Linked DNA regions of Mus musculus: regions 1, 3, 4, 5, 6 and 7 are each reported to be linked to region 2. Evidence: microRNA targets listed by miRTarBase, many of them from high-throughput screens and not tested one by one. Region 2 holds a microRNA gene; each other region holds the end of a gene's coding sequence.

Region 1 (3,000 bases), not on the chromosome of region 2:
GCAGCAGGGTGTGGCTCTTCCTCTCCTGTAGTGGCAGCTGTGGGCTTTTGATTTCTTTTAAAATAAACACAGAAATATCGTCTGAATGTGCTTTTGTTTTAATCCCAGGTGTGCGATGTGGGGCGGCTTCAGGCTGCCCACAGCAGCTGATTGTGATCTGCCTCGTGCTCTGACAGATGTGTGGTTTTGCCAGCTGCAGAGAGTTTCTGCAACTGTGTGAATTCTGGGTCTATAAATGCTAGGGCCTGAAAGAGGCAGAGTTGATGGTTGGTTGAAGTTTGTTAGTAGTTGTGCTCAAAGAAGAAACAAAAGGAAAGAAATCAGATTCAGGTATCTCTTTTCCCTCTATCCTTGTTTCTCTTCTGTCTAGTGTTAGGGGGTGAAACTAGGGCAGGGTGGGGGAAATAAAGGGTGGGAAAAGAATCTCCAACAAAGGACCAAAGACAGCTATACTCTCCCCCTTCCCCAGGCCTCTTGAGGGATGAGGCCAGATACCCAGTGTACAAGGGCTAATGAGTCCACACTTAACTGGTGAGTTCGCAGATCTATTACTGCCTGTGCTGTCTAGGAAGCAGAGCACAGCCAGGAGAGCAGGCTGCCCTGTGCCTCTTGATTAGATGTGCAGTGTGACCACAGTGGACTAACGGCTTCCCCATCTTCCATTCCTTCTTCGCTTTCCCCAACCCCCACGGGTTTGCAGACCCTGCAGTTTTGAGGATCCTCAGAGACTGGGCTTACCCCGTGGCCTCCACAGATGCAGCACAGAGAACTCAGGAAACAAGCCACGTGCAGGGCTGTTGCTGAGGTCAGGGCTGCTCCCGAGGTCAGGGCCTGCTGGGACTGGCTTGGAGCTGGGACTGAGTTTCCTGGTCACCCAGGGATCGTGCCCTCTGAGTGCCATGCCTGTGTCACTGTGGTCAGTCCTGGGCCTGTATGAGCACCACTTTAGCTCAGGACAGTGAGTGACTGCCCAACAAGTGGTAGGCTTAGCTGGCAGCCAGGGACGAGCACAAGCTAGCCCTGCTCTGAGGCCTCTCAGATGTAGTTGACACTCAATGACAATAACTAGTAGAAGAGGGTGGTCTTGCTGTGGCACTGCTGGTCTGGAACCTGACATTGCCCGCAAGGGCCCCCAACCCCACATAAGTGTTAAGTGGAACAACAGAGACCTGCCTGTTCATGGGCGCCACCTATGAACAAAGTGGGACAGTAAGGAGTCCCTCTGGGCAGACATGCCTGTACATCTGCTCTCGTGAACCTGGCTGCTGAGGGTCTCTTGAGCTTTTTATTGTGTTCTGAGGTCTTATGTGCAGTCCTTGCTGACCTCCTGGAGCTGGCCATGTAGCACAGGCTGGCCTTGAACTCGGAGCAATACAGCCTCAGCCTCCTGAGTGCGGTATCCCCTGCTTAACCGCCATGCCCAGCTCTCTTCGATTATTAGAACCCTCAGTGAGCTAGACGACGGCCCTGTGTCCAGGAGGTGGGCCCTGGGGGAGTCACGGCAGCTGGCCCACCTCATAAGATCCAGGATTCAGCCTGAAGAGTGAGAAACTGGAGCCAGAGATGGGGAGAAGCAACTAGTACCAATGTCCCCAGCACGGCAGGCTACCCAGAGCCCAGGGAAAAGGTCACCAAGGGCACGTGGCAGTAGAGTCACCAGGGAGAAAGCACCTGAGACAAGGTGGAGCTGTGGACCCTGGCAGCCCTGACCTACAGACACTGGTGCAGTAAAACCCAGGACCAAGGCTCGCGTGGGTGCTTGGAAACACTTTATTTAAAACTCTTTTGAAAAGACAGCAATTTATGCCATGAACAGAATAAGATGCTGACAAATGTTTTCTTGCCTGACCTGCCACCAAGCAGGTCTCTCTGGCCCTTGAGGGCTCTACCACTGGTAAGGGAAGTCCCTGCCTGAGGAGGGATGCGGTTGGCTCTGGAAGGTGACAGGGCAGGGCAGAAGGACTCCATTCTGTCTGGGCTGTCCTACATCTGCTGGGAGCAGCCACAGCAAGTGGCCCGCCGGTGCTAGGGTTTCTTCTGGGTCATCAAGAGAAAGCACCAGACAGGAGCCACCTCCTCAGAGATCACATGGCTTGGGGACGCCACCTGTCACACAGACAAAGCCCTGGCCACACCCACGCTCCTCCCTCTACACTCATCCCACATGTTTTTGATTTTTTTTTTTAAAAATATAACTTTGTAAATGCTCCATAAAAATACTGCTCTTCCTAGTCAAACCTGGGTATTGCGATAGAAGAGTAACTGCTTTGTCTTTGCTCTAGAAAACATGAAAAGATTATCACACAGGATAAGATAGAAAAACGCAGGGTTCCTAAATATCACAAAAGCCAGTACCAAATGCTCACGGTGGAAGCGAAGCTAGGGACCGACCGGGTGGGCTGGCAGCCTTGGCTGGGCACCTCTTCCCCTGGCCCTGCTGGGCACAGCTTAGGGCACCTCATCCTTCTCCACACACAGACACCAAGTCTGGGAAAGGCAGCCACCTGCTCTGACCCAATGGCCAGCACTTGCCCCTTGAAGCACCGAGGGCCCAGTGCTGCTGGCCAGGACCTGGTGGTCCTGCTTGATGACAAGGGGCCAGCTAGCCAGGATCCCAGCCTGGGGATTCTGAGACCAACTCTCCTTGTGTAACATTCCACTTGGCCTGGTGAGGCGCACTCCTGTGCAGGTGCCAGGGCAGAAGGGCAACAGCCCTATCCCTTAAAGCGGGAGTGTGTCTTCTGCCCCATAAGAGGCGGGTGGCCAGGCTGTGCCTCAGTTCTCAGAGAGGGACAGAGCCAGGGCAGCCTGGAAGGCAGCTTCTTCGTCGATGCTGTAGTCCTGGGGAAAAGCAGAGATGCATGAGGGAGGAGCAGGATGGCTCCCAAACACCCACTGTCACAGTGTGTCCCAAGCCTCCTTCACAGAATGCCTGCCCCAGTTCTTACATGTGTCCCCAAAGGTAGCCTTGGATCGTGTGCATACCAGTGCTCTGCAGGT
Region 2 (4,416 bases):
AGGACAGGAAGAGAGTAGTGGGTGGAGATGTGGGGGAGTACACTCATAGTGGCAGGACAAGGAGGGAGTGGGATAGGGTGTTTCTGTTTGGGAGACATGGAAAGAGAAAAATATTTGAAATGAAAATAAAGAAAATATTCAATAAAAAGAAAAAAGAAAAAATAGAAAAGTGCAGTGTCCCATGAATCTGAAAAAATATTAAATGCAACTCAGTGTGAAAACAATGTTTATATCCTGTGTTTATTCACATCAAAACGTTGCATATGTGGACCTTTCAATGTGTGACTTTTTGCTAAATTTTTTCAAATTTTATTGGATAATTTCTTTATTTATATTTCAAAAGTTATACTGTTTCCCCATTTCCTCCCCAGAAAAACCTATCCAATACTCCCTCACACTGCTTCTATTTGGCTGTTTCCCCCAACCACCCAGCCAAACTGTCACAAGCTGAAGATTGAATGCTATATCATCTTTGCAGAAGGCACAGCCCTGCATGACCGAGGCAAGAAATGGACAGTAGAAGCAGATTCCTGAATTTCACATGTGGAGACTGTCCCTGTATAGGAACTAAAAGCCAACGAATCAGAGCATGGTGGCTCTGAAACAAACTAGCACTTTGCTTGGAGCTGTCTACTGGCTCCATCTCCAGTCAGTTACTGAAACACTCTTCCTTGTCTTTACTACCATACAGTCGGGCTTTGATTATACCCAGGACCAGATGAGTCCTGAAATATAGCCAGAAGCCTGACTGATCAAATCCTTCCCAGTGGACATATTTATTTGCTCTCCTTGCTTCTGATTGATGGAGAATGGAATAGGATCCAATCAGGAGATAGAGCTCATATTTAGGCATTGACATCAAAGCCTGCAGTTACCTTGGAGATCTCCATCAGTACTGCTTATTGATACCTCAACCCCCTCCACCCTAGTTTCCCAGAAGGAAATTGATAAATTGAAAGTGAAGGGCAGAAAAAAAAACCTGCTTTACCTTCTTTTCTCTGCACTGACTTACAGAAAAAGAAGTCAGTAGAATCTTGGGGGATGGTCCTATTTCTGGCTCCTTCTGCCTAGCTTTAAGCTATTAGCCAGAAATGTGCTGTTTCTTTTTTAGCCCACTTATTGTAACATTAATCTTCTGTATTTTGCTGCCTGCTGAACAATTGTGATGTGCATTTTTCAACTTATCCAATTTATCTGTTACATGCTCTGTGTATGAACTTTCCTTGAAAATATAATATGTATCCACAAAGAGGTGTTTGTCTATTTAGTTTAATATTCAGCTCATGCCTAGCTCTACCTGTATTCGGGTGGTATTAAAAGCTGCAGTTTTCCATAAATCTGAAAAATAATAAATGCTACTGAGTGTTGAAACAATGCTTACATGGTATGAATATTCACATCAAAATATGGTATATGTGGAATATTTAATGTGTGGATTGTTTTCTATATTTCTATACTGGATATTTTCTTATTTAAATTTAAAATTGTATGCCCATTCCACAATTCCCTCCCAGAGAAACCTGTCCAATCTCCCCTCCCACTGGTGCTATGAGGATGTTCTCCACACACACAATCCCACTACCCCACCCTGGCTTTCACCTACATTGGGGCATTTAGCCTTATGAGAGACAAGCCCCTCTACTCTGATTGAAGCCTGACTCAGAATTCTTCTGCTACTTATGAGGCTGGAGACATGGTTCTCTCCTTGTGTACTCTTTGGTTGGTGGTTTAATTCCTGGGACCTCTATGGGGGCTATGTATAGTTGATAATGTTGTTCTTCCTATAGGGTTGCAAATCCCATTCAGTTCCTTAATGTTTGGTTTTAAAGAGGTCATGGCATTTTCTGATGCATATAGAGCTGTAAATTTATTTCTACCTTCAGGAATGTATTAATAAAATAAAACAGTTCAAAATTATACAGATTTTATGACAGAGACCTGATTTCAAAAAAAAAAATAGAATGAAAATATCATGAAATCTTAGGACAACCTGAGAGAAAAGCATTTAGAAAATCTAGTAAACAACAACAAAAGTATCACCATAAACAATGGTTGCAATGTTGAATGCCTTTGGCTATTAATGGTAACATGCTACCAGCATCACTGTCATAACACTGCTTGGATTGTGGGTATGGTAGTTTCTCTGCCTGTTAATCACATCTAATTTTTCTTATACTCAAATCTGGTATGTTGAGCACCTCTGCTGCCATCGTGGTACTCACAGTGGCTGATCTAAAAACATGAAAATGCCAAAATTGTTCTGTAGTCTGTGTCACAAGCTGAAGATTGAATGTTGTATCTTCATTACAGAAGGCACAGCCCTGCATGACCGAGGCAAGAAATGGACAGCAGATGCCTGAATTTCACATGTGGAGGCATTCCCTGTACAGGAACTAGGAGCCAAAGAATCAGAGAATGGAGGCTCTGAAACAAAAAAAAGCAGTTTGCTTGGAGCTGTCCACTGGCTCCATCTCTTGTCAGTTACAGAAGCACTCTTCCTTGTCTTTAGCACCATATAGTCAGGCTTTGGTTATATCCAGGACCAGGTAAGTCCTGGAATATAGCCAGAAGCCTGACTGATCAAATCCTTCCCTGCAGACCAATTTATTTGGTCTCCTGGCTTCTGATTGATGGAGAATGTGCATTCAAATAGAGAATGGAATGAGATCCAATCAGAAGAGAGATCTCATATCTAGGCATGGACAGCAGAGCCTGCAGTAACCTTGGATATCTACATCAGTGCTGGTGATTCATAACTCATACACTCCTCCCTGCCTTCCCAGAAGAAATGAGAATAATTGAAAGTGAAGTGCAGAAAAAAACTGTTTTACCCTCTCTTCTCTTCACTGACCTACAGAAAAATACCTCACTGAACACTTTGGGGTGGTCCTATTTCTGCCTTATTGATTATCTTTAAGCTATTTTACAGGGATGCTCTGTTAGCTTTTGAGCCCACTCACCGTATTTCTTGACATTTTTGCTGCCTACTGGGCAATTGTATTGTGCCTTTGTCTCCTTTTCCAATTTAACAATTGTATGCTCTGTATATACTCTTTACTTGAAAAAATATTATTTATTCTTGCATCTAGAAAGAATTGTTTTAATACCAAGGTTAATATTCTGCCCATTCCCTAGTCCATGATTACTCAGTTTCAATGAAAAGCTGCAGTGGTCCATAAATCTGAAATATAATAAATGCAACTCAGTGTTGTAAACAATGTTTGTGTGCTATATTATTCACATCAAATATGGTGGATGGAAAATATTTGAAGTGTGGTATTGTTTTCCATTTTTTTGGATATTTTATATTTACATTTCAGATGTTACACCCTTTACCAGAGTCCTCCACAGGAACCCCCTGGGAAATCTTATATAAGTATGTTACTTTACCCAATTACACACAAAATACTGGCACCCTGCCCTGGTATTCTCCTAGAATGGGTCATAAAGCTTTCTCAGGACTAAGGGCCTCTCCAGTGATTGATGCCTGGCAATGCTTTCCTCTGCTACCTATGAGCATGGAGACCTAGGTCCCTCTTTTTGAACTCTTTTTGATGGTTTTGTCCCTGGGACTTCTGGGAGAGTGAGTCTAAATAATTGATATTGTTCTTCTTGCTATAGGGTTGCAGACCACTTTCAATTCCTTAATGTGTGGTTTTAAAGAGGCCATAGCATTTTCTGATGCATATAAAGCTGTAATCTTATTTCTACCTTCAGGAATGTATTAATCAAATAAAACAATTCAAAATTATCCAGGTTTTATGACAGGGCCTGATCTCTAAAGATAGAATGAAAATATGAAGGAATCTTAGGACTTCAGGTATCCACAAGTACAAGCTCACAAAGAAAATTCATGTTTCTATTTCTTCCTTTACCTTGTGTAATACCTAGGTAGAGGTGATCAGGTAATCATTTATTGATTTCCTTAAATGGCTCATGACTCTCCAGAGCTGTAAGGTTGCAAAGGACTGACCTAGGAAAAAAAGCATGTACAAAATCTAGTAAACAATAATAAAAATATCACAATAAACAATGGTTGTAATGTTAGATGTCTTTGCCCATTAATGGTAACATGCTACCAGCATCACTGACCCAAGAGTGCTTGGGTTCTGGGTATGGTTATTTCTGTGTCTGTCAGTTACATCTGATTTTTCTTATAGTCCAAGGGAGTATGTTGAAGACATATGCTGCCATATAGGTTCTCACGGTGGCTTATCTAAGAATATAAAAGGGTCAAAATTACCTCCTCTGTGTCACAAGGTGAATACTAAATATTATATCTTTTGTGCAAATGTACATCCTGCATGATTGAGGCAAGGAGTGGACAGAAAAAGCAGATACTTGTTTTACATGTGGAAAACTCCCAGTACAGGTACTAGAAGCCAAGGATTCAGAGCATGGAGGCTCTGAAACAAA
Region 3 (4,416 bases), not on the chromosome of region 2:
CTCTGGGAGGTTATTCCTTTGTCACAAATCTGAGCACGGGATAGCCTGAGCCTCAGAAACACCCCCACCCCCCATCCCCACGCCTTTCTGTTGTGGAGACCCCAGCCAGCACCCTGCCATTCAGTCTTTCTGGTGAAGAGACTGGTTCAGTTTGAACTGACTGGTCCTCGAACTCAGTGTCCCTTGGGAGTCCCCTGGAAAGTGTTAGAACTGAACAGCTGCCTGCAGATTTTTTACCAGTGGGCTTGGGGCTATCTATGTTAGACAAGATCCAGGACTTTTCTGTGGGGCTTGTCAGCGAGCCCTCTTGGTCCCCTGAGGCCTGCAGTGTGTGAGCCAGCAGGTATCTGCTTCAAGGAATGAACTATCCTGGGAATTTCCTTCTCAAAAGCCCTCAGTGCAGCCTGTCAGCAAATGGAGGCTGCAATAAACCCCAAAACCCTGAGTCTCCCAGTTGAACAGGCAAGCAGTGTAAGGGTGAACTGCAGTGGGTGGCAGTGTTCTCGGGGAGTAGGCTGAGCTGGCACACTGAGGGCCTGTGCATATCTTCAGTCTGTTTGGGGGGCCCCTGTGGGCCTCTGAGCAGAGGAAGAGCTGCTGGCTGGCAGAGCAGATGCTGAAGAGGGCAGCAGTGGGTTTGGGAGGTTAGGCATGGCTGCTGGTAGGACTTCCTCCTTTTCCTAAGTTGAGGGCAGTGGCAGCATTCATGGCCACAGGTACTACTTCCCAGGTGTGCTGCCAATCACTGGCAACACCATTCAAGACTACGTCAGGGTCACTCTTAAAGCTTGGTAAGTAAGTAGCTGTGGGGCTCCAGGAGAGCCGCTCTCCTTAGCCACCCTCCAATGCTCTCCCCGGTTTTATCCAGCAAGGTGATTGAGCACTGCAGTAACTTTAGAGAGGAGAACATGGACACGTCCAGATAGAGGCCACACAGCTCGGACCACAGGCCGGGAGGAAGCGCTGGAGGTCTAGTGGGCAGGTCCCTTTGCGGAGCCTCCTACAGGGTGAAGAAACAGCGAGGACTTGCACAGCCGACGCATTTCCTTAATGTTAGTGAGATATATATTATATATATATATATATATATATATATATATATTTTTTTTTTTTTTGGTTAGGAAGTGTGAAGTTTTGTGTGTATGACTTCTCCCGAGTCTTTGCAGCTCCTTGCCACTCTTGGTCCGCCTCCAAGCTTTGGTTGCTGCCATGTTCCCTCCTGCCCCAGCCAGGCTTGCCTCTAATGCTGTGAGTGCCTGGCCCCTTCCCAGTGAGCTGACCCTGGCCTGGCTTCTGTCTGTTGTGGGAGGAGCTGGCCCTTAGCAGGCTACTCAACATCCCTGATCCCTGCCTGAGTGCCCTGCCCAGGTTCCCAGGTGAGTGAGGCTGGCAAGCTTTAGGATTAAGTCCAGCCCTACTGGGTTTCCCAGAAGCCTTGGTGCTCCAGGCTGTGAGCCATCTGGGGCCAAAAGAGTAAGCTGTTCCCAGGCCTTAGGCCAAGCAGATCCTGTCCAGAGGACCCTGGAGAAGCAGGGCTCTGTTGGCCCACTGCTCTCTGGCCAGGCCTGTCTGTGGCCATGCTGCTATGGAGGAAGGCTGCCTCAAGTCTCCCTCAGGCCCCTAGGTTTTTGAAGGCTGCAGCCCAGAGAGGGTCAGAACTCAGGGGCAATTACACTGCCCCTTCTGCCAAACATGCCCCAAACCGCCTCAGCTCTGGCAGCTGGCACCTTCCGGGACCAGGGTCTTTCCTTGTTCTGTAGCCCTTATCTGCCCACAGCACCCCAGTGCCCAGGTACTCCCACCAGCAGCAGAGCTGAGCCCACCCGCTGTCCAGAAGATACTACAGCTCCCTCCAAGGCAGGAGGTCCCCACTCCAGCCTCACAGTGGCAGCAGGAAGCCACCTCCAGACCAGCACTTGGACAGTCCTCTGTCCCTCCAGCCCAGTCAGGTTGTCCCTGAGAAGCTGCTGCGCTGTGTGACAGGCAGTAACAGCAAGCTCTCTGGATATCTCCTGCACCCTGTCCTTGTATCTCAGCATTGCTTTTCATTGTTGTAGCTACTGAGGAGACCCATGCACATAAGCAGGCTTTAGGGAGCAAAGCTGGCCCTGGAAGCAGCCTCTGGTGTGGCTTTTTCTGCCCTCTTTCTTCTCTGTGCCCGTTTTTCCGGGCTTGCCTGCCTACAGTCAGAAGGGGCCTGGCTGCTCCCAGAACTCAGGGAGAGGCGACTGATCTTCCCAGAGGAAACTCTCCCTGCCAGGTTGCTTCGCCCATGCAGCACTTGGGCAGCCTCAGCCCATCCTTTCCATCCCACGTCCTCTGGCCCTGCAGGCCCTGAGCAGAACTCGCATCCCATTGCTTTCCTACCTGGGTCTGGGGAAATGTCTGTACTTCAGGATGTCACAGAAATACATTTTGTGCAAAGTGCAGGAGAGTGGTGTCTTTTCTTTCCGGAGGAGACTGGGGGATACTGGGCTGAGGTACACGGTCAGAGGTCAGGGAAGGAGCTAGGGGTCTCCTGGAGTGTGGGTAATTTTACTGTGGGTTTATGTGCCTACAATCAGGAGACAGGTGGCAGACTGAGGTTATGTGTCTATGACATTCTCTCCACATCTCTGTGCCCAGACACTGGGGTCATAGCTGTCCACCAGACTGGCAGAGCCCCTGGGAGACAACATAGTCTGCTGGGAGAGACACAAAATAAATATAAACTCGCCATTCTGCAGCAAAGAGGAGAAGGGCTCCTGCTGGCATGGTGAAGTGGCTCTGGTCTGACGGGTGCCAGATAGTATCATAGAGGGGAACAAGTAGGGGGGTGGGAGTCCTCTACGAAAGGCTGAGCTGAACCCAGCAGAAAGGGGGAGCCTCTGAGGGATGGCATCTCAGACAGGGCATTGCCATGGCGAGCACAGAGACAGTCCCACTGAGATGCAGGGAACATGCAGGTTCAGGTGGGAGGGCAGAGCTCACAGCTGCTCACACACCTGCCATGTGTTCTCAGACCACACAGAGGGTGAGCAGGAGTGCCAGGATCAGATTAAACAGTTCTGGGAGCTGGCATGCTGTCTGCATCCTTCCTGGTAGAACAGGGGTCCCCTCTTCGCCCCAGCAGAGCCCACAACAGTGCCTTCTACCATTGGCAGCCCACAGGGCTGAGGCAGAAAAGCTGTCTGTCACATGTGGGTGTTTGCCTTGAACTTGAGGGCCATGTGAGTCTGGGAGGGAGCTGGATGTGCATGCCTAATGTGTACACATGTATGGGGCTTCCCCTTGTCCACGACACATTCTCAGCCCACAGATGGGTACATGCACTCAAGAGGTGATGTGCCTTCTCACCTCAGGTTGCCATAGCAAAGGAGGGGGCACAGGGTCCCCCCGGATGCACAGTGTGCTCCTAGCCCAGGTGCCTGCTCTTGCCAGTGTCTAGAACACTGCTTCCTGCTCACTCCATCCCACTACCTGGCCACTTGTTGATGCTGAGGCTATGGCACCTGCCACTCCATGGCTGTGAACAGCCCATCAGGGCTTTGCTAAGGGTCAGCACACAGCACAGAACCCTGGGTTTCCAGGGCTCTTTATAAATTCATTTTAGTTGTTTTGTGTGTGTACACTACTTGTGTACAGTGCCCATGGTGGCCAGAAGAGGGCAGCAGGTCACAACTATATGGTCTGAGTGCTGAGACCCAAACTTCTCTGGAAGAGTGGCAAGCATGAACCTCTCCTGGCTGCCCATCCAGGGATCTTTCTTACTGGCTGTGCCACAAGGAGCCCTACCACTAAGACTGAGTTCCACTCCCAGGACCCATATATTGAGAGAGAAGAGACCACCCACCCAAAAAAGTACAAATAAATACACTGATTTTTTTGTTTTTTGTTTTTATTGAGACAGGGTTTCTTGGTGTATGTAGCCTTAGCCATCCTGGAACTTGCTTTGTAGACCAGGCTGGCTTCAAACTCCACCTGCCTCTCGGCCTCAGAGTGCTGGGATTAAAAGCACCACCATGGGAAAACCAAAACAAAAACACCCCACTGGCTAGGGAGATGCCCTGGTGGTTAGGAGCACTTGTATATCCCACCCACATACACACACACCCACACACACACTCCCAATGAGGGTTTCTCTGTGTATTCCTGCTGTCTTGGAACTACACAAGTAGTTCTGTAGACTACACTGGCTGGTCTCAAACTCCAAAGATCCACTTACCTGCCTCTGCCTCACCAGCCAGCTGCCCCACCCCAAAATAAGACCTTTCTCTCTATGTAGCTCTGGCTGCCCTGAAACTATGAAAACTAGGCTACCTCTGCCTTTGAGTACAGAGATTAAGGCGTGCACCACCATGCCCCACTGTACTTGTGGCTCTTGCAAGGGACCTCAGTTCAGTTTCTAGCACTCACATGGTGCTCATAACCATCTGT
Region 4 (3,000 bases), not on the chromosome of region 2:
GACAGAGAGAATTTGAGCAATATAAACAAAAGAAAACCACAAAATAAAATAGCACAAGTAGATTTGTTTGATAGTATAAAAGTAGTCATTTAAAAAATGATTTATTGTCTACTTAATGTGTATGTATGTATGTTTCTATGTGAATGCATGCCATGTGTGTTTGGGTGCCTACAGAGGCCAGAGCGAGTGTCAGCTCTTCTGGAGTTACAGACAGTTAAGGACTGCCTGCCATGGGTGCTGGGAAACAAACTCTGGTCCTATGGAAAAGCAGAAAGTGCCCTTAACTGCCGGGACACCCTCCAGTCTCTAAAACAGTCATTTTTAGCTTAATTTTTTTCATTTAATATCAGAATGGGAATTTACAGACCATGAGCTTTGATAGTTTCTCACAAAATATGGGTATTCTTTTTGTTTGGTTGGTTTGAGTTTTGAATAAACAGACCAGGCTGGCCTCGAACTCAGAGATTTGCCTGCCCCTGCCTCCCAAATGCTAGAATTAACAATGTGTGCCACCACACCCCATCACATTAATAGTATGAATAGATTGTTTTTAAAATATCGTTATCAAAGCTCTTCTAAAGAATTTATAAACTTTTCTTCATATATATATATATAATTATTAAACATATTTCTATAGCTCATGACAATTTATTTCCCTACTATCTGTAGCTAATTGTGTGATTCATATTAGTGAGATATAATGATTTCTGCCTCCGTGTTATCAATGTTGAATAAGAAATGGCACCTTACGTAACAGGCCACCAGTGCCTGCTGAGCATGGGGAACTGCAGTCGGGGACAGCAGGAGCAACTCCATAATCTGGGCCACTGTCAGTGCTAAATGCATAAATAAATAAACTGAAAGGTCATGAATGCTCACGTTCATCTCACTGTAGACAAGAGACCACAGACTCAGCGGATACTAGAGGTATTGTAATCCATGTGCAAGGCCATAGTTATCAAACTCACTCCTCCGTGTACAGCTTCCCCAGTATACAGAAAGCTACCAAATGCACCAGCTCTGGAGGCTGCAGGCAGTGAGTGCTACCTTGCCTCTCCCACTGGAAAACCCAAGTCCTGGAAAAGGTAAGTTATTTGCTTTATGTTGTTAACTATTAACCAACAGAGAAAGACTCAGAACTACAAACCTGGGGCGCTGACGAGGGAAGGTGGAGCCATCTACCCTCTAGAGAAGTTACTGGTCTTGGAAATAATAGAAACAAGACAAAAGCCCAGGTCCATGGACTCTAACTGGTTTTTGTCACTGGGTGGAGTCTGGCCCTCAGCTGTAACACCCACTATTGATAGGCCGTTGATTGGGAGGAGAGCGAGGGGTTGAAGAAACTATATTCTAATGGGAAGAGTTTGGATTAATGCTAAGCATTGTTGAAAGTGTCTAACACAGAGACTCACAGTTACACAATTCAAAGAGAAATTAAAGCCATCTGTGCCTTTTCTGTTTCTCGAAATGAGCGTGTTCTTTCTAATTCACAAAGGGTGATTGACAGGTGTGGGGACCCCAGAAGGGCATCTGCTCAGGCTCTGATCCGGGTTCCTACTCAGAGAACCAAGATGCAGCCATGGCCCTGGGTCAGCAGCATCATGACTGTAAACAATCACTGACATGTCACATATCACTCACAGCAACAGGAGCTTCTCCTTCCTGTAAGAAACACAATGGAAGTCTGTAGTTCAGGCTTCAGCACTAAGCTTAGGGAGATCTAAAATACAGCTTTTTATTCCCTTAGATACATGAGAAATGTGTCTATGTGATTGAATGCTATTATTGGATCTGATATGAGTACATTCAAATACAGGATAGTTTCTGAAAAATGCCACCACCTTCAACCAATGAGAGGACTGGAAATCCTGAAACTTACAACTGTGACATCTTGCTGAGATACAAGTCCCTTCTGCCTAGGAATACTTCACCCACCTCAGGCCCCTCATTTCTCTCTTCCAGAATCTTCAGAAACCCACTGTCATACTATTATAGATGTGATATTTATTTACTCTCAGAGATTTAAACAGCAGTAAAATATCTCTGAAGTTTAAAGGACAAGCCAATCTAAAAATGGCTCAGCTGATAAAGCCATTTGCTATTTGAACAATATTAATTTTTACATTAAAAAAATAAATAATCTAACTAGGCTTTATTGTACCTGCCAGTCTTTTAAAAGACTTCACCCCCTCAATTGAAATCTACAGTGAAGGCAGAGTATAAGAATTTCTGTATAGTATTAAATGTCATTCCAGAGGGGAAAGTATGTAGACCAAACAGTACGCCACTCCGATGACAGGAAGTGGCTGACAGCAGGCTTTCTGTTTCTTATTTGATGGATCATGGGTCCACCTTGACACAGAGAGTGATCTCCATAGCAAGAGTCAATGTTAACCGGGGGGGAAGATCCATCCTGTGTGTTCCGGATCAGTCCGTGGAAGGTTTCTTCCAGAGATGAAGAGCTGCTTGAATTCTGAAGTGTAGCCTGGACTCCAGGGAGTAATCCTTATAGTTATTTCTGAAGACAAGGATAAAATTGTACAGTCAGAACTTACCCTCTCTAGGGGGGTGCCGCCCCCTTCCTCTGCCTCCCTCTGACCCCTTACATCTGACTCTAACATGTTCTACTGGAGCAGAGTAAAGAGCAGCGTCTTTCTGTGGGGCAAAGTGAACAGTGAGTCTGCATTCTTGCTTTCCTGAGGCTTCCCCAGTGATGATTTAAGAGGTTATACCGTTGAGTAAATCATTCTAATTGCCAGACCACAACTATAGCATGGTCAAGAAGGCATGGCACATTGGCTAAATACTGCTACATGGCTCAACTTCCATATTTAAAGAGGAAAACATTAAGGCAGGGTCATATAACACAATGATCATGAACAATCCACTATTCAACAGAATAAAAATACCTTGAAACCCACACGGTTACCCCACAACAAAGACACCAGGATTTCCCCGTGACCCCAAAACCACTTACTCCAGTTCTCATGTAAGTTTTCA
Region 5 (4,416 bases), not on the chromosome of region 2:
GTCTTCAGACAGCACCAGAAGAGGGCATCAGATCCCATTAAAAATGGTGTGAGCCACCACATGGGAAGATCAGTCAGTGCTCTTAACCACTGAGCCATCTCTCCAGCTCCCAAGTTTACATTTCTAAGCCCCCCCCCCCACGTAGATACTAATGAAAATTTTGAGTAGCAGCAGTCGACTCACTGGGTAATTAAAATTCTCTGACTTCCAAAAGTCCAGAATCACAAGTACAGAACTTCCAAGATCCCAGTGCACTTTATCAGTTGATAGTTTGCCTAGTTTATACAAAGATCAGGGTTCAGTCCCTAGTATTGCACAAATCAGGATCCAGCACTTTTGGTAGAGGCTGGAATATGAGTTCAAGGCCACGGACACATAGATGGACACAAAACAGTAAAAACCTTCTAAAACAATATTCTGCATCCCTAGCCCCCAAATTCCTATATAGTTACCGTAGTTCTTTTTGTTTGTTTTTAATTTTGCTACCTCTCTGCCTTTTAAATCTAATCTTATCATCATAGTATCCTGGTGTTTATTGTTAGAAAATATGTAATTCAAGCATCCAAGACAATTCCAAAGCAATGTATAAGACTATGAGGGTACCTTGGAAAGACTAAATTTGGTATTTATAACATGCAAAGTGGCAGTGCTCAACTTTTAAATCAGATAATAGGAAGTATAACATATGTAAGTACAAATCCAAAATTTCCAAAATAATTAAGAACCTTTTTTTGGGGGTTGGTTGTTTGTTTGTTTTTTCGAGACAGGGTTTCTCTATATAGCCCTGGCTGTCCTGGAACTCACTTTGTAGACCAGGATGGCCTTGAACTCAGAAATCTACCTGCCTCTGCCTCCTGAGATAAAAACCATTTCTTAACCCAGTGAATAGACCATTTGGTTGCCTCAGAAGGAATAGAGAAACTTTGGTTTTTTTATTTTTTTATTTTTTTTTAAGCCCATAGAAGTATCTTTAATTTGCCTGATAAAAATTATTTTGGAGGCTTACTGCTGAATGAACTCACCCTCTTATTGTAGGTAGCCCTGGGCCTAATTATATTTGATGTTAAATCCATTTTCATGTGAGTGGTTGCAAACGAGGAATGGGTCAACACTCAGGTGATTTCCTGTAAACTTCACACCTTAATTTATAAAATAAAGGAGAGCTGATGATTGAACAGATAAAAGGGAAGGTGGAGAGGAAGGTGGGGAGAGGGAAAAAGGAAAAATGGAATAGGGAGAGGAACAGAGGAGTAGGAAGAAGAGAAACTGAGCAGAAGCACATGACCTGGAGAAACTGCAAGTCCTAAGGGGTCTCATAGATGTGGAAGATGGTAGTGTAGCGGTAGATCTGCCCAATCTAGGCACACAGCATGTATTCAATATAAATTGAGTTATTTTCATTACCGGGGCATAGTTGGAGATTTACCACAATACTCTCTCTAGCTTTTTTCTGAACTCTAGCTGGATGGTTCAACTCAGCTGTTCTGGCTCAAACTCTTCTCCAGTCTCTTACTCAATTTGGCTTATTTCAGCTTCTCACTGAATTGCTCTGCTTAGCCTTAAACTAACTAGCATTTTATTCTAATCTTCTGGCTCCTTATCCTCTGGCTTATTCTATCTTCCTAAAACATCTCTCTATAAAACTGCTTCCTCTCTGTTGTCTTGAGAGTTGGGCATATCCTACTCTCTGACTCATTCGGTCAAATCTTTGATTAGTCACTTTCTCTGCCCCTCAACTAGCTATCACTTTCAAACATGACTGATTCCATCTATAAACTAACCTTACTTTTCTTTCTTTTTTTTAAAAAAAGATTTATTTATTATTATACATAAGTACGTTGTAGCTGTCTTCAGACACCAGAAGAGGGTGTCAGATCTCATTACGGGTGGTTGTGAGCCACCGTGTGGTTGCTGGGATTTGAACTCAGGACCTTGGAAGAACAGTTGAGCCATCTCGCCAGCCCCTAACCTTACTTTTCATTGTTTGGGACTAAAGGTATGCACTAAAGAAATGACTGCATTCCAGCCACACCACAACTACTGTGATCTAGGGAGTACCTGTATTCCAGCTGAATCACATAAACTTAGAAAGCCTTTGGATGTGATCCCTTGCCAGAGCAGCCATATTGTTGAACTAAAATTCCTCTACATAACCAGTTATAGCTTTAATCTGTAATACCTCCTCACTGCCAAGATTTGTGTTGAAAGCCTAGTCCATCCCCAGTGAATTCGTGTTCATAAGTGGATCTTAAGTGTTGGGATTCAGACCTGGAACCAAGTGGCTGAAATGCATATTTTACATAACAAAGTGAACCTGACCTCCAGGTTCTCCCACCTGTTACAGGGCACACAATTGGCATACCCAGCCCTCTGTCATGAACTGTCCAGCTGACGTGCTGGGCTTCCCCACCCATAGAAGATCTTCCCTATATAACCCAGATATTTTGGTCTCCCTCTCTCTCCCTCCCTCTCTCCTGCATTTTCTCTCCCTGCTTGTACACTCTTTCTCTCATTCTCTTCCCCATGGCAACTTCCCTGGTCTTGTTCCTTGGGACCAGTGAACCCACCCTTATCCCTGGTCCCTTGCTCTCTGCTTCCTGGTCACCATAATGTGAGAAGCCATTTCTGCTGCATACTGTGGTTGCCTTAATATCTCACCCCACCTCAACACAAAGCAATGGAACCAGCAGACCATGGATTGGAGCCTCTGAAACGGAGCTAGATCACTTCTCTTTTAAGCTGATTTCCTCAGTTATTTTGATATAGTATCAGAAAGATAACACTTGAGTTCCTTATTTATCTTTCCAGAGATATTTTATTAATACTGAAGCAAATTATATATATTACATCCATACATACATACATATATAAATATACCTTCTACATATGCAATTGTATATGATAGAGTGCTTTGTTATAAAATCCTGACACCTTGGTATGTGAAATGGGAACATAACCATAACTAACTTTAATAAACCATACAGTTATTCAAGGTGTCACAGCAAAGGAATGAAGAAATTTACTTTATTATCTATCTATCTATTTTTGGAACAGGGTCTTACTATATAGCTCTGGCTGTCCTTGAACTCACTATAGACCAAGCTGTCCTCAAAGTCACAGAGATGCGCCTACTTCAGCCTCCCAAGTGGTAGTATTCAAGGCCCAATCCACCACAAGCCACTGAATTGCATTCTTTAAACTGTTGAATACCTCCTACAGAGGATATTTTTAGAACTTAACACAAACAGAACTATATTCATACTTGAAAGCACTTTAACAAATCAGGGATGAAAATCCCATACAGCACTTGTGGTCAGTCCATTGTTCTCTTGCTGAGTTGGCTCTGGAAGTGTGTATTCTACTAGTTGGTACAGTTGATGCCGAATGCTATGTCCACTGAACTGGGGCCTCCCAGGGTCACCAATCAGTACTCGGGTTCCATGGGTCCAAAAGTAGTTCTGCAGCCACAGATGAAGACTGTCTGCAAGGTCTTCATCATAAAACATATCTCCAAGAACAATGAGATCAAACTTACCTTGTTGGGTATTCAAAATGTTTTTAGTTAAAACAGGAAAAGGATTCAGTCCATTTAATTTGCAATTTAGTGTAATCGCCATTCCTGCAACTTTAGAAAACATGATGAATTGGTCTGTAAGCATGTATCAGTAGGCTGTTTTAATTCCTTATTATTTAAACACTTTTAAAAATCTAACATTAGGGGCCAATGAGAAGGCTCTGCAGGTTAAGATGCTTGCTGCTAAACCTAAAGAGTTCAACATCTGAAGGCCAGGAATGATGGCACACAACTTAAATCCCCGGTCTCAGATGAGACAAGCAGATCTCTGTGATTTTAAGGCCAGCCTGGTCTTTATAGGGAGTTCTAGGACAGCCAGGACTACATAGAAAGACCCTGTTTCAACAAACAAAGTTCAATATATGTGACACACATGGTGGAAAGAAGGAACCAAATCCCACACAATGACCCTGATCTCCCCATGTGGTGTACACTCACAAATGAACTAATAAATGTAAAAATAATCTAATACTTACCTTTTGTTAAAACGGATTTTTTTTCTTGTTTTTGTTGTTTTCAATTTTATTTCATATGTGTTTTGTCTGGATTCATGTCTATGTGAGTGTATTGGATCCCCTGGAACTGTAGCTACAGAGAATTGTGAGCTGCCATGTGAGTCCTGAGAACTGAACCTGGGTCCTATGGACGAGCAGCCAGTGCTCTTAACCACTAAGCAATCTCTCCAGCTCCTGTTATTTTTTAGGCAAAGAAGTTTAAAATTTATGCCAGTATAAATTACATACTGGCTAGGCATGATGGTAAACACCTGTCACTCCAAGGCTTGGTAATATACGGCAGGAAGATTCCTGCAAGTATGAGCCAACCTGGGATACAAAGGGAGG
Region 6 (4,416 bases), not on the chromosome of region 2:
GTTTTCTTCTGCCTCTGCCGTAACCATGGCTGGAGGAGAGGGTGGGAGCTGGGGAAAACCTAGGGGCCCTGTGACAAGAGACTCTGGGGTCCCATCCAGGGGACAGGGGAACCCAAGCCTCTAGCACTCCCCACCATTAGCCTTGTCCTCAATGCCCTTTCCCTCATGTCCAGACCTTCCAAGCAGCTTGCCTTCTTTTGTAAATGTCATCAAAAAGGAGTGGGAAGGAGCTACAGAACAAAAACATTGAACAACTTGACCCGGGGCTCAGCACCTGTCTGAACCTGCGGTCCAGGCTGGAGCAGGGCCAGGCAGCCTTCCCTCCGAGTAGCAAATCTGCTCTGAGGCTCACAGGTTTGCAAACCACCATCTGCCCCTTGCTGGGGCCAGGTGGATGTCTAACCCTGCACAGGCAGAGGATGAAGGCGGTTCCATTTGGCAGGCTGTCTGTCTTAGGTCTTGGATTCCATGGGAAGATGGTGATGGGGAAGTGGCTTGCTCTGGTGCCCCACCCCCACTCCTGGCATACTTGTCACAGATACATCGGTCCTAAATTCAAGTGTCTTCAGAAGGTGAAGATGTAAACTACTCCGCAACATCAACTCTTAACATGTCACAAAAAATACACACACACACACACACACACACACACACACACACACTCCCACCCCTCCTCAGCCTGTGTTGAGATGATAGCCTTGCCTTCCCACCCCAGAGGGGCTTCTTCCCTCAGAGGGTCTGGGAGGATCTGGGAGAGAATGGCAACCCTAGTCTGGATAGCCTAGATGGAAACCACCTTCCCTGATGCTGGGCCTCAAGCCCTGAGGTTCTGTGGTGCTGGATATACAGTAGAGGGCTGAGTGAGGAGAGGAGAGGAGAAAGGGAAGCAGGGAGCCCACTGTTTGGTGAAGGTGCACCATAGGGCAGGTACCAGACTTAGGAGAAGGCCTCAGATCCCAGCAGCAGATGATCCTGTTCCCTTATTTGTTTGCGACAAGTGAGTCACAGGAGCTGACAAGGGATTCCCACATCCTAAGCACCGGGAGGACAGAGTGGGGCAAGGCATGAGCTCAAAGTAACAAGGTGCCCAAAGACAGAAGGCAAGCTCTTGTCAGCCTGGGATGCTGTGTCCCAGTCCCAACTTTTGGGACAATAGAGGAACTGGGCGATGAGGAGGGTCACACAAATTTCAGTTAAGCTAGCAAAAAGACCACACCCCCTTGTGCCACCTAGGTCCAAGTGTAGGGTTAGCATGAAGTCTCCCAGCCTGTGTGCTCAGTCCTTCATTACCCTCCTCAGCTCCTGGTGACAGCAGCCTCCAGCCACTCCTCTGGCATCTCAAGTGCAGCTCAGGCAGTCTGGCTTTTGAAGAGAAGTCAGGTATACTCTATGTCCACATATACCTTCCTGCCATGGGGCTTCACCAAACGGTAGGATTCCCCAGCCCTTGGTTCCTCTCACCCCCTTGATCCCAGGCAGGGCCAATGAGAGGGTGGGCAGAGATGGCTTGCAGGGGGTGGTGGTAATAAGATGGAAAGACAACACCAGACCCTTAGAGAATGGTACCTTTTCTCCACCTCCTTGAGGTCAAAGGTCGTTAAGGTTAGACACAGACCTAAGCTGTGGACATCAGTGGGTGTTCAACCCCTTGTTCTGGAGTTGGGGAGATGTGCACACTGAGGACAAGTGTGTACCAGGCAAGACCAATTATGTTTACAACAGTCTGAAGCAAACTTGGCCTTGGGGTTTCCCAGGGCTTGGCTGGGCGGGGCGGGGCGGAGCAGAGCTGAGTGGGCCTGGAGAGGCGACAGCAAGCACAACAAGGACAGTGGCAACAGTGTGCAGACACAGGACATTGGCTTCAGACAATGCAACAGCAGGGGTGTCCTGGGCACAGCTCTGATAGAACTGCCCCAACTCTTGCCTCCAGGTAGGAGGCCCCGTACATGCAACTCAGTCTCGAGGAAAGTTCTAGTCAGTCCAAGTCCAGGGACATCCCGGGCAGGTGGAGCTCTTCCGGAGGCTCAAGGAAAACAGGCATTTGGGCATTAGTTCAGGTTCCCGCTCCACAATAAGGCAACTTTTAAAAAAATATTATTTCCAAAAACAGAACAGAAGAAAAATTCCAAGGAGGGGGAAAGACATCACTTTCTATGGAGTAGGTGGGCTCTGGTTTTTTGTCTTTTTTTTTTTTTTAAAGTGGTCGATTTTGTCTTTTTTTTTTCTTTCTTCTTTCTTTCTTTTTTATTTTCGTTTTTGTTTTTTTTTTGTTTTTTTGTTTTGTTTTTCTGTTTTCCCAAGGATGGAAAGGTCAGAGAAAAAATAAAATGAATCATCTTTCAATAGTCTCTTCTGGTGTGAGCAGCGTCTCTGGGGTGGGGCGAGGGGGCGAGGGGAGAGGCTGAAGCTCCCACCCCCACTGAGATCCTTTGGTTTCCTTCCCCCAGAGGTGGCAGAAGGGCATGTGGAACAGCAGGGACACGGTGATGGCAAACCCCAGGTGATCAAGGGGCTGGTGCTTCTGGGGCCCATGGGCACCGCCAGAGCCTTCTGGTGGGCTGCATAGTTGGCTTGAGGGAAGCGGGAAGAGGCAGGGGAGACAGGTCGGCATAATAGCCGCAGGAAGGGCTAAAGAGTGATTTTGGTAATCCAGACAAACTATCAATAATTTAAAACTTGATATATATATATGTATATATATATATATATATATATAAAATCTCCCCCCTTCCCCTCCCCCCTTAGAAGTTATGATGGAAGTCATGGTGACAGGAGGGATGGGGTACTTGGAGGCTCCTGCCCAGGAGCACCGCTAATAGCCCAAATGGTATACACTGCTACTTAGCGCAAAGGCCCATTCTTAGTACTCTAGGTCTGTCCCTTCTCTTGTTCGCTCTTCTGGGCACCCCACAGATCCTCAACCACCCCACCCCTCTATCACAAACCCCAGGGGGCTTCAGGCCATTCACTTTCGCAAAGTCAGTGTGTCCGAGTGCTGGCTTGTCCATTTGGCATCTTCTCGAGTGGCCTGGCCAGTAGGTGTCGTAGGGGGTTGGCTGATCCCAGTGGCAGGCCTGCTGGAAGACTGGGAAGGGCACCGCTTCCTGCCCTCTCCGCTGCCTCCTGCTACCACTGGGTGTCGCTTGTGGTTGCCTTCCTCGCCCATGGGGGGCTGTAACAGAGGAGTCACAAGTGGTCAGAGAACACTAGCCACACCACTTTCCAGAACCAATCAGGTCTCCGTTCCATCTCCAAATGAGGACAATGGTTTGATTTACATCCTGTCCTTTCATGTGGACAGTACCAGAAATAAGGAAACGGACCAAACACATAATTTGTCAAAGGCTTCCTATATTTAGGTCCATATCCTTAAAGACCAGAGTTTGACCCTATAAATTTTTGTCCCCTTCTACAAAGGGTCTCTTAGGAAAAGACCTGTGGTGTGTGGAATGCTACATGGTGCATGTATTGGCTCCACAGGGAACTGTCTTATTCCAGCCTTCACCAGGCCCGTGAGCCAACAATGAAGACTGTGATTCAGCTTGCCCTACTATCACCAAATGCCACCCAAACTATTTTCCAGGTACTAAGTTCCAGCCATTGGTCCTTAGCACACATCTCCTCCCCAGAGTAGTTAAGAACAAGCCCAGTTTACAGGTATGTAAACTGATGACACTCTTACCTACAAGAGTGTGCTCACAGTCTGGGCACCAGGAAGGGTCAGTTCTACAATAACTTAGGACGACCGCTGATCCTTACCTAAACCTATCACTTTTCTGTTACATGTTCTCAAGAGAACAGCCTGAGTATCAGAGTCTGCTCATTACAAACTTTTTGGTTAAAAGCCTTTCTGCCTTCTTTGGTGCTGGTCATTAAAACCAGGGCCTTCAATGGGTTATACATGTATCTTACCATTGAGGTAAACCCCCAATACCACAGACTTCTTGAAGGAAAATCTCACTTGAAGTACTTTGCACAGACACAAAGATGAGTCAATGAAGCCGCCTTTAGAGGCAGCCGTTGACACACGCACAGCACTATTCAGACTCACCACAGGGTGTCACTGTTTAGGCACTGCTCTCGACAACGGAGGACTGAAAATTAATTTACAAATTTCTTTTCCCAGAAGGAACAAGTATATTTATCAGAGTAGCTGGTCCTGATCCTGACACAAACTAGTAGTAGTGGGCCTGGATAAGCAGGTAGGCTGTGACAATAGGAGGGAGGCTGGGAACAACTCTAGTGAGCACCTGCTGCTGTCCACTGTCACGTGTACGTCACAGACAGGAGAGGGATGCTCTCTTTACAGGACAGTTAGGAGTCAGGAGAGACTTTCACTCACGTCCACTCGGAAGTCTTCTAAGCGGCGGAATTTGCCGAGGTATTCTTGCAGTTTGGGGTCAATGTCCAAATTTT
Region 7 (4,416 bases), not on the chromosome of region 2:
TGCAGCAGGTGTTACAAACAGTCTGTGCCAGAACGGAGCCTGTATTTGTATGCGCAGTGTTTCCTTCCTCCTGCTCCAAACTCACCTTCTAATAGCGTCTGCTCACCTCCTCACACTAGAGAAAGCATGGTAACACACAGCTGGGGCTGATGACCCATTTTTTCCTTACTTAGAACCCCTACTGTTAAACAGAGAAGCAGGAAGTGTCAGTCAGAACCACATCACCTGATCACTCATTCAATAGCAGTTATGTGGCCTGTTAAGTTAAAGGGCACCACAGCGATGTCTGCAATGTGGACATTTTTATTTTGTTTTAAGCAAGTTTCAGTTAATTACCCAATTGTACTAACTCACTGACATTAACTTTCAGGAGTTATTGGACATTCTGTTAACTGTTTTCTTACAGTGCTGGGGGCTGCACTCAGGTCCTTGCAGAGCTAGACAGGTATTCTACTTCTAGGATGTGTCCCCACTTGTATCCAGAGACTAAATTGTCTAGAACAAGAGTCACTGTTACTGGCTCCTAGCGGGAGGACTGAGTCTGGATGTTAATCCTCCTAGGTGAACACCTTTGCTTTTCCAGACTGTTAGTCCACAGGGACCTCTCCCTATATAGAGGCCATCCTAAAAAATAAGCTCAGCTACAAATACATCATTTCAAAAACTTCACACTTCCTCAGCGTGCAGTTTAACAAAAGTCAGATAAGTACAAAGAAGTACAGTGTATTTCACTAAACTTCGGTAACAGCCCCGAGAGCAGGCAGAGACCAGTTACTCATCTCACCTTGCCTCAATTTCTTTTTCAGCTGACCATGCTGAAAGTGCTGTTGAGCTTAGGCCAGAGACAGCAAGTCTTTAAGGTCATTTCAGTCAGTGCCAACTTAAACAGTAGATTTCAACAGAAGACAAACGTGCCATGGTTTTTACTAAGGTGTAGTGACTAGTGCTTGCACTGTGTCTTCAGTATGTTGGCATGTTTATGTATTAGGATTAATGGTAATAGGCACATTATGTGTCAGAAGTTGGGTTTATAGTTTAACACCATTCCTTCTTGGTCTCCTCTTCAGGTTGCTACATGGATTCAATGCAGAAGGCATCCACTTCTCCTAGCCATTTGAAAACTATTTTTTCAAGACCAAGAAAAAATGAAATTATACAATCCTACTATTTGAGAATACAACCAATTTTGTTCTACAGGACATCATTTAAATTATTTAATAATACTTTTTTACCATTTATTATCCTGTATGTGAAAGGTGGTTGGGTATATATATATATGTATGTATGTATGTGTATTATATTATATATAAATAATACCCTGCCCTTTGTAGTAGACCTAGTGTTTTATATATAAATATAAAAATAATGGTCTTTAAGTTTGAAAGCCACAGACACACACAACATACACTTAAGCTTTCTAACAATTTATTGTATGAAGACGTTACTTTTATTCACTATTTTAGACTGTGAGGTTCACGTAGGCCTACAGCTCACTCAACTAGTCAGAAAGCCCCCAATGTGACTTTTCTTCACACACCTTCACCCTACGTGTTATTATTTGCCTCTTGCAACACAAACAACATCATAATTCTGGGAGCTGAGTCTGCTGCAATGACAGTACAGGCAAGTTCTGCATAAGACTACCTGTAAAATGCAGAAGCTTAGAAAGTAAAAACTCATGTTAAATCACATATTTCCTTAAGGGAGACAAGATCTACAATTTTCAGATTTAGAAAAACTCTGGAGGGTTTTGTCAATCAAATAGGTGGTCTCATTAATTTATGATTCATTTCCTTTCTTGAATGAGAGGGTCTTTTGGAGGTTGACTTTAATCTCAGACTCTTGCCTCAGCCTCCTAAATAAATTCTGGGGTTATACTTGTGCAAAGTAAGTTTTCCAGTTTTAGTTTTCAGCTTTTTAAAAGAACAGACTAAAACTACAGGTTCCTGGTTATTCCTGACTTCTAGATAATTAAAATTCTACTACCTGGTGTTTCTTTTTAAGCTATTTAAAAATTGTCAGATAAAAGATAAATGCTGTTTATATATTTTAATAAATTAGCTGTTTTATTTATATAAGGAAACTAAACTAGCTTCTCTATTTATACTTAAAACTTAAAAGGAATATCTCCAATTACTTGAGAAAAAGAATGCTAAGTAAACTTAATATAAATTGCTCGCCTACAGTTTTTCCTTCAAAATCCAGTTTCTAAGTCATATAGTAAACACTTATTATAGTAGCTATGAATAGTTAGCAGCCTTTAAGTTTGAGACATTTCTAAAGAATATTTAATCTAGAACAAAAACATTTGCTTAGCTGCAAAAGCAGCTTTTGTCATATTGATCAGAACTGTTCTTAAAGTTTGTTTATTGTCAGAACAACTTTGCACAGTTCACTTGTACCATTCTCTACCTTAGGGAAACAATTCTGCTAGACTAGGCTTTCTCAGCTTATTTTCTTCCAACTAAAGCTTTCCCTCCGTAAAGCTGAATCATATTTTACCTACCAAGATATTTATTGATGTACTCTGACTACAGATCAGGACGAAGCCAATAAGGAAACATGTATCTATAAAGACCTTCAAAGATAATACCTGTCCAATGCCAGTAACATTAAAGCTCAACTGTTAGGTAAGTTATGAGCAAGTTTGTGTCTTTATTGCCCACTATATATGAGACATTCTCAGAACTGGAGGCAAGGTCTTTGTACATAGCTCTGGCTGTCCTAGAACTTAGTATGTATACCAGGCTGGTCCAGAACTCAGAAATCTATCTACCTGCCTCTGCTTCCATGTGCTGGATGCAACTAAGGGCATGCACCACTATACCCAGCAAAAATTACCTTCTTTAAACAGCTGCTGCAAGGTCAATAGAAATAGTCCTTCATTCTTCCTCCCGTCTTTGAAACAAACACAAATAGAATATAGCATAAAACTCCAAGAAAACCTGAGTTCCTTCCAAAACAAAGCTAATTATATTGAAGTACATTATTTCTAAATTCGTTTCATAAATTTCATTTATTAATAAGCATATTGTGAAAAAATCTACATTTGATTTAGATTTCATGTTTACAGAGTTTTCACCATGGTGTTCGGATTCCTCAGAGCTACTCTCATCATTTATGACCAGTGAAGTAAAGAACCTGGCTCATGACTCTTCATGGATTTCCCCTCGGTACACTGAGTCATCAGTAGGCTCCCTAGAGTTAAGAGATCCATGGGAGGTTCTTTGGTTAACCTACTGGACTAGATAGTGGGAACCAAGGGAAAACTCCTAGAGATATACATATATATATCTTTAAACAATATTTACATGAAAATTGGCCAGTTTTCTTTCTTAGATTAGCAGCTAAAAATGAGTGCTGCCATTAATAGAGTAGCCTATTTTGCCATCAATCTACAGGCGAAATATGATTCTCAAAAACCATCACATACTAGGTTTAGATGGAGCTTGGAATAACCTGCCTCATAAGTCATCAACACTTCTCAGGGGTACATACTGTCTATGCTTGGTTTATCTAACTTGTATTAGGGATTACTTTCAGTGTACATACAAATGTTCATGCATCAGAAGCCAGTTTCCTTTAACAGTACATTAAATTTTGGTGAGTTAATAAACACTTCAACTTAAATAATGGCATTGTTAAGGACCAAATTCCACTATTAGTCTTGTTAACACCACTGGCACACACACTGCATATGTATATATGTATTATCCTAAAATAAAACTCCTCTCAGAATTTCTTTACTTTTTACTATACACCAACTAATTCATATTTTAGGTTTTTTTTTACAAAGAAAATGCTAAGAAAATTATAATCACATAATTCCAGATTTCTTTACACATAAGATGGAATGGTCCAGCAGCTATGTCCACTGTCACAGACTTTAGTTCCGTTCAATTGATATGGCACATCCTGCAAAATTAACTAGTCACACACAAAAAAATGTCTCAAATACAGTAAAAATGTACACACAGTAAAGGTAATTTACAGTCACAAACAAGGAATGTAATTAATCTCGGCTGTTTTAGAAATCTAGGGTCAATAGCCTTAGCCAAGGCACAGAAGGATGAGTAAGCACGAGTGTCTCTAGGAGTAGGCAAAGTATGTACAATCACTCATGAGGTATGCATGCACGCAAAGGGTTCAAAATTGCTCAGTCTTGCTATGAAAATTGATCTGCGTTAAAGGAAATTCTGTGGCTTCCCCTATCTTCCACTTCTGGATCACTTCCACAATCTTTAAATAAAATTGGCAAGGATATCCAAAAGCAATCACTATTTATTTGGGCAAATGAAACAAAATACTTCACTAGTCCGAATTATTAGTTGTGCCTCTTGGTCTAGAAGCATTTTGTCGACAAAGGAGTGTTTCACAAAATTGAAATGTCATTCAGATGAAGGACAAGATATTTTC

What was found. The annotated mature microRNA mmu-miR-344e-3p reads GAUAUAACCAAAGCCUGACUAU and lies in region 2 at 2,516-2,537, opposite strand. An mRNA with a match to its seed (bases 2 to 7 or 8) in the 3' UTR can be bound and repressed. Matches are read on the target gene's strand: a 7mer-m8 pairs with bases 2 to 8, a 7mer-A1 pairs with bases 2 to 7 and ends in A, and an 8mer does both.
Region 1: miRTarBase lists Rnf166 as a target of mmu-miR-344e-3p. Seed matches in the 3' UTR shown: 7mer-m8 at 2,190-2,196.
Region 3: miRTarBase lists Zer1 as a target of mmu-miR-344e-3p. Seed matches in the 3' UTR shown: 7mer-A1 at 1,069-1,075.
Region 4: miRTarBase lists Ttc39b as a target of mmu-miR-344e-3p. Seed matches in the 3' UTR shown: 7mer-A1 at 610-616.
Region 5: miRTarBase lists Etfbkmt as a target of mmu-miR-344e-3p. Seed matches in the 3' UTR shown: 7mer-A1 at 2,865-2,871.
Region 6: the mRNA of Larp1 is a reported target of mmu-miR-344e-3p. Seed matches in the 3' UTR shown: 7mer-A1 at 2,711-2,717.
Region 7: the mRNA of Dimt1 is a reported target of mmu-miR-344e-3p. Seed matches in the 3' UTR shown: 7mer-A1 at 1,301-1,307, 7mer-A1 at 1,345-1,351, 7mer-A1 at 2,041-2,047 and 7mer-A1 at 2,071-2,077.

What each region holds. Positions count from the first base shown.
Region 1 is chr8:122,464,394-122,467,393 of GRCm38, forward strand. Rnf166 (ring finger protein 166) reads right to left here. Exons shown (of 6, transcript NM_001033142.3): 6 at 1,752-2,841. The coding sequence ends at 2,776. Among named protein-coding and RNA genes, the nearest start is that of Snai3, 5.2 kb to the left of the region's middle.
Region 2 is chr7:61,733,024-61,737,439 of GRCm38, forward strand. Mir344e (microRNA 344e) reads right to left here and starts at 2,579; the gene lies at 2,514-2,579. All of the region lies in intron 6 of A230057D06Rik (RIKEN cDNA A230057D06 gene), which reads right to left.
Region 3 is chr2:30,095,296-30,099,711 of GRCm38, reverse strand. It overlaps Zer1 (zyg-11 related, cell cycle regulator), which reads left to right. Exons shown (of 16, transcript NM_001290503.1): 16 at 869-2,429. The coding sequence ends at 926. Among named protein-coding and RNA genes, the nearest start is that of Zdhhc12, 3.9 kb to the right of the region's middle.
Region 4 is chr4:83,224,707-83,227,706 of GRCm38, forward strand. Ttc39b (tetratricopeptide repeat domain 39B) reads right to left here. Exons shown (of 20, transcript NM_027238.2): 20 at 1-2,518. The coding sequence ends at 2,428. Among named protein-coding and RNA genes, the nearest start is that of Gm46887, 40 kb to the left of the region's middle.
Region 5 is chr6:149,149,551-149,153,966 of GRCm38, reverse strand. It overlaps Etfbkmt (electron transfer flavoprotein beta subunit lysine methyltransferase), which reads right to left. Exons shown (of 5, transcript NM_001252095.1): 5 at 2,796-3,625. The coding sequence ends at 3,282. Among named protein-coding and RNA genes, the nearest start is that of Etfbkmt, 10 kb to the right of the region's middle.
Region 6 is chr11:58,057,315-58,061,730 of GRCm38, reverse strand. Larp1 (La ribonucleoprotein domain family, member 1) reads right to left here. Exons shown (of 19, transcript NM_028451.1): 18 at 4,343-4,416; 19 at 1-3,172. The coding sequence ends at 2,966. Among named protein-coding and RNA genes, the nearest start is that of Gm51897, 32 kb to the right of the region's middle.
Region 7 is chr13:106,957,588-106,962,003 of GRCm38, forward strand. It overlaps Dimt1 (DIM1 dimethyladenosine transferase 1-like (S. cerevisiae)), which reads left to right. Exons shown (of 12, transcript NM_025447.4): 12 at 1,068-2,637. The coding sequence ends at 1,110. It overlaps Kif2a (kinesin family member 2A), which reads right to left. Exons shown (of 21, transcript NM_001374727.1): 21 at 1,409-4,416. Among named protein-coding and RNA genes, the nearest start is that of Dimt1, 13 kb to the left of the region's middle.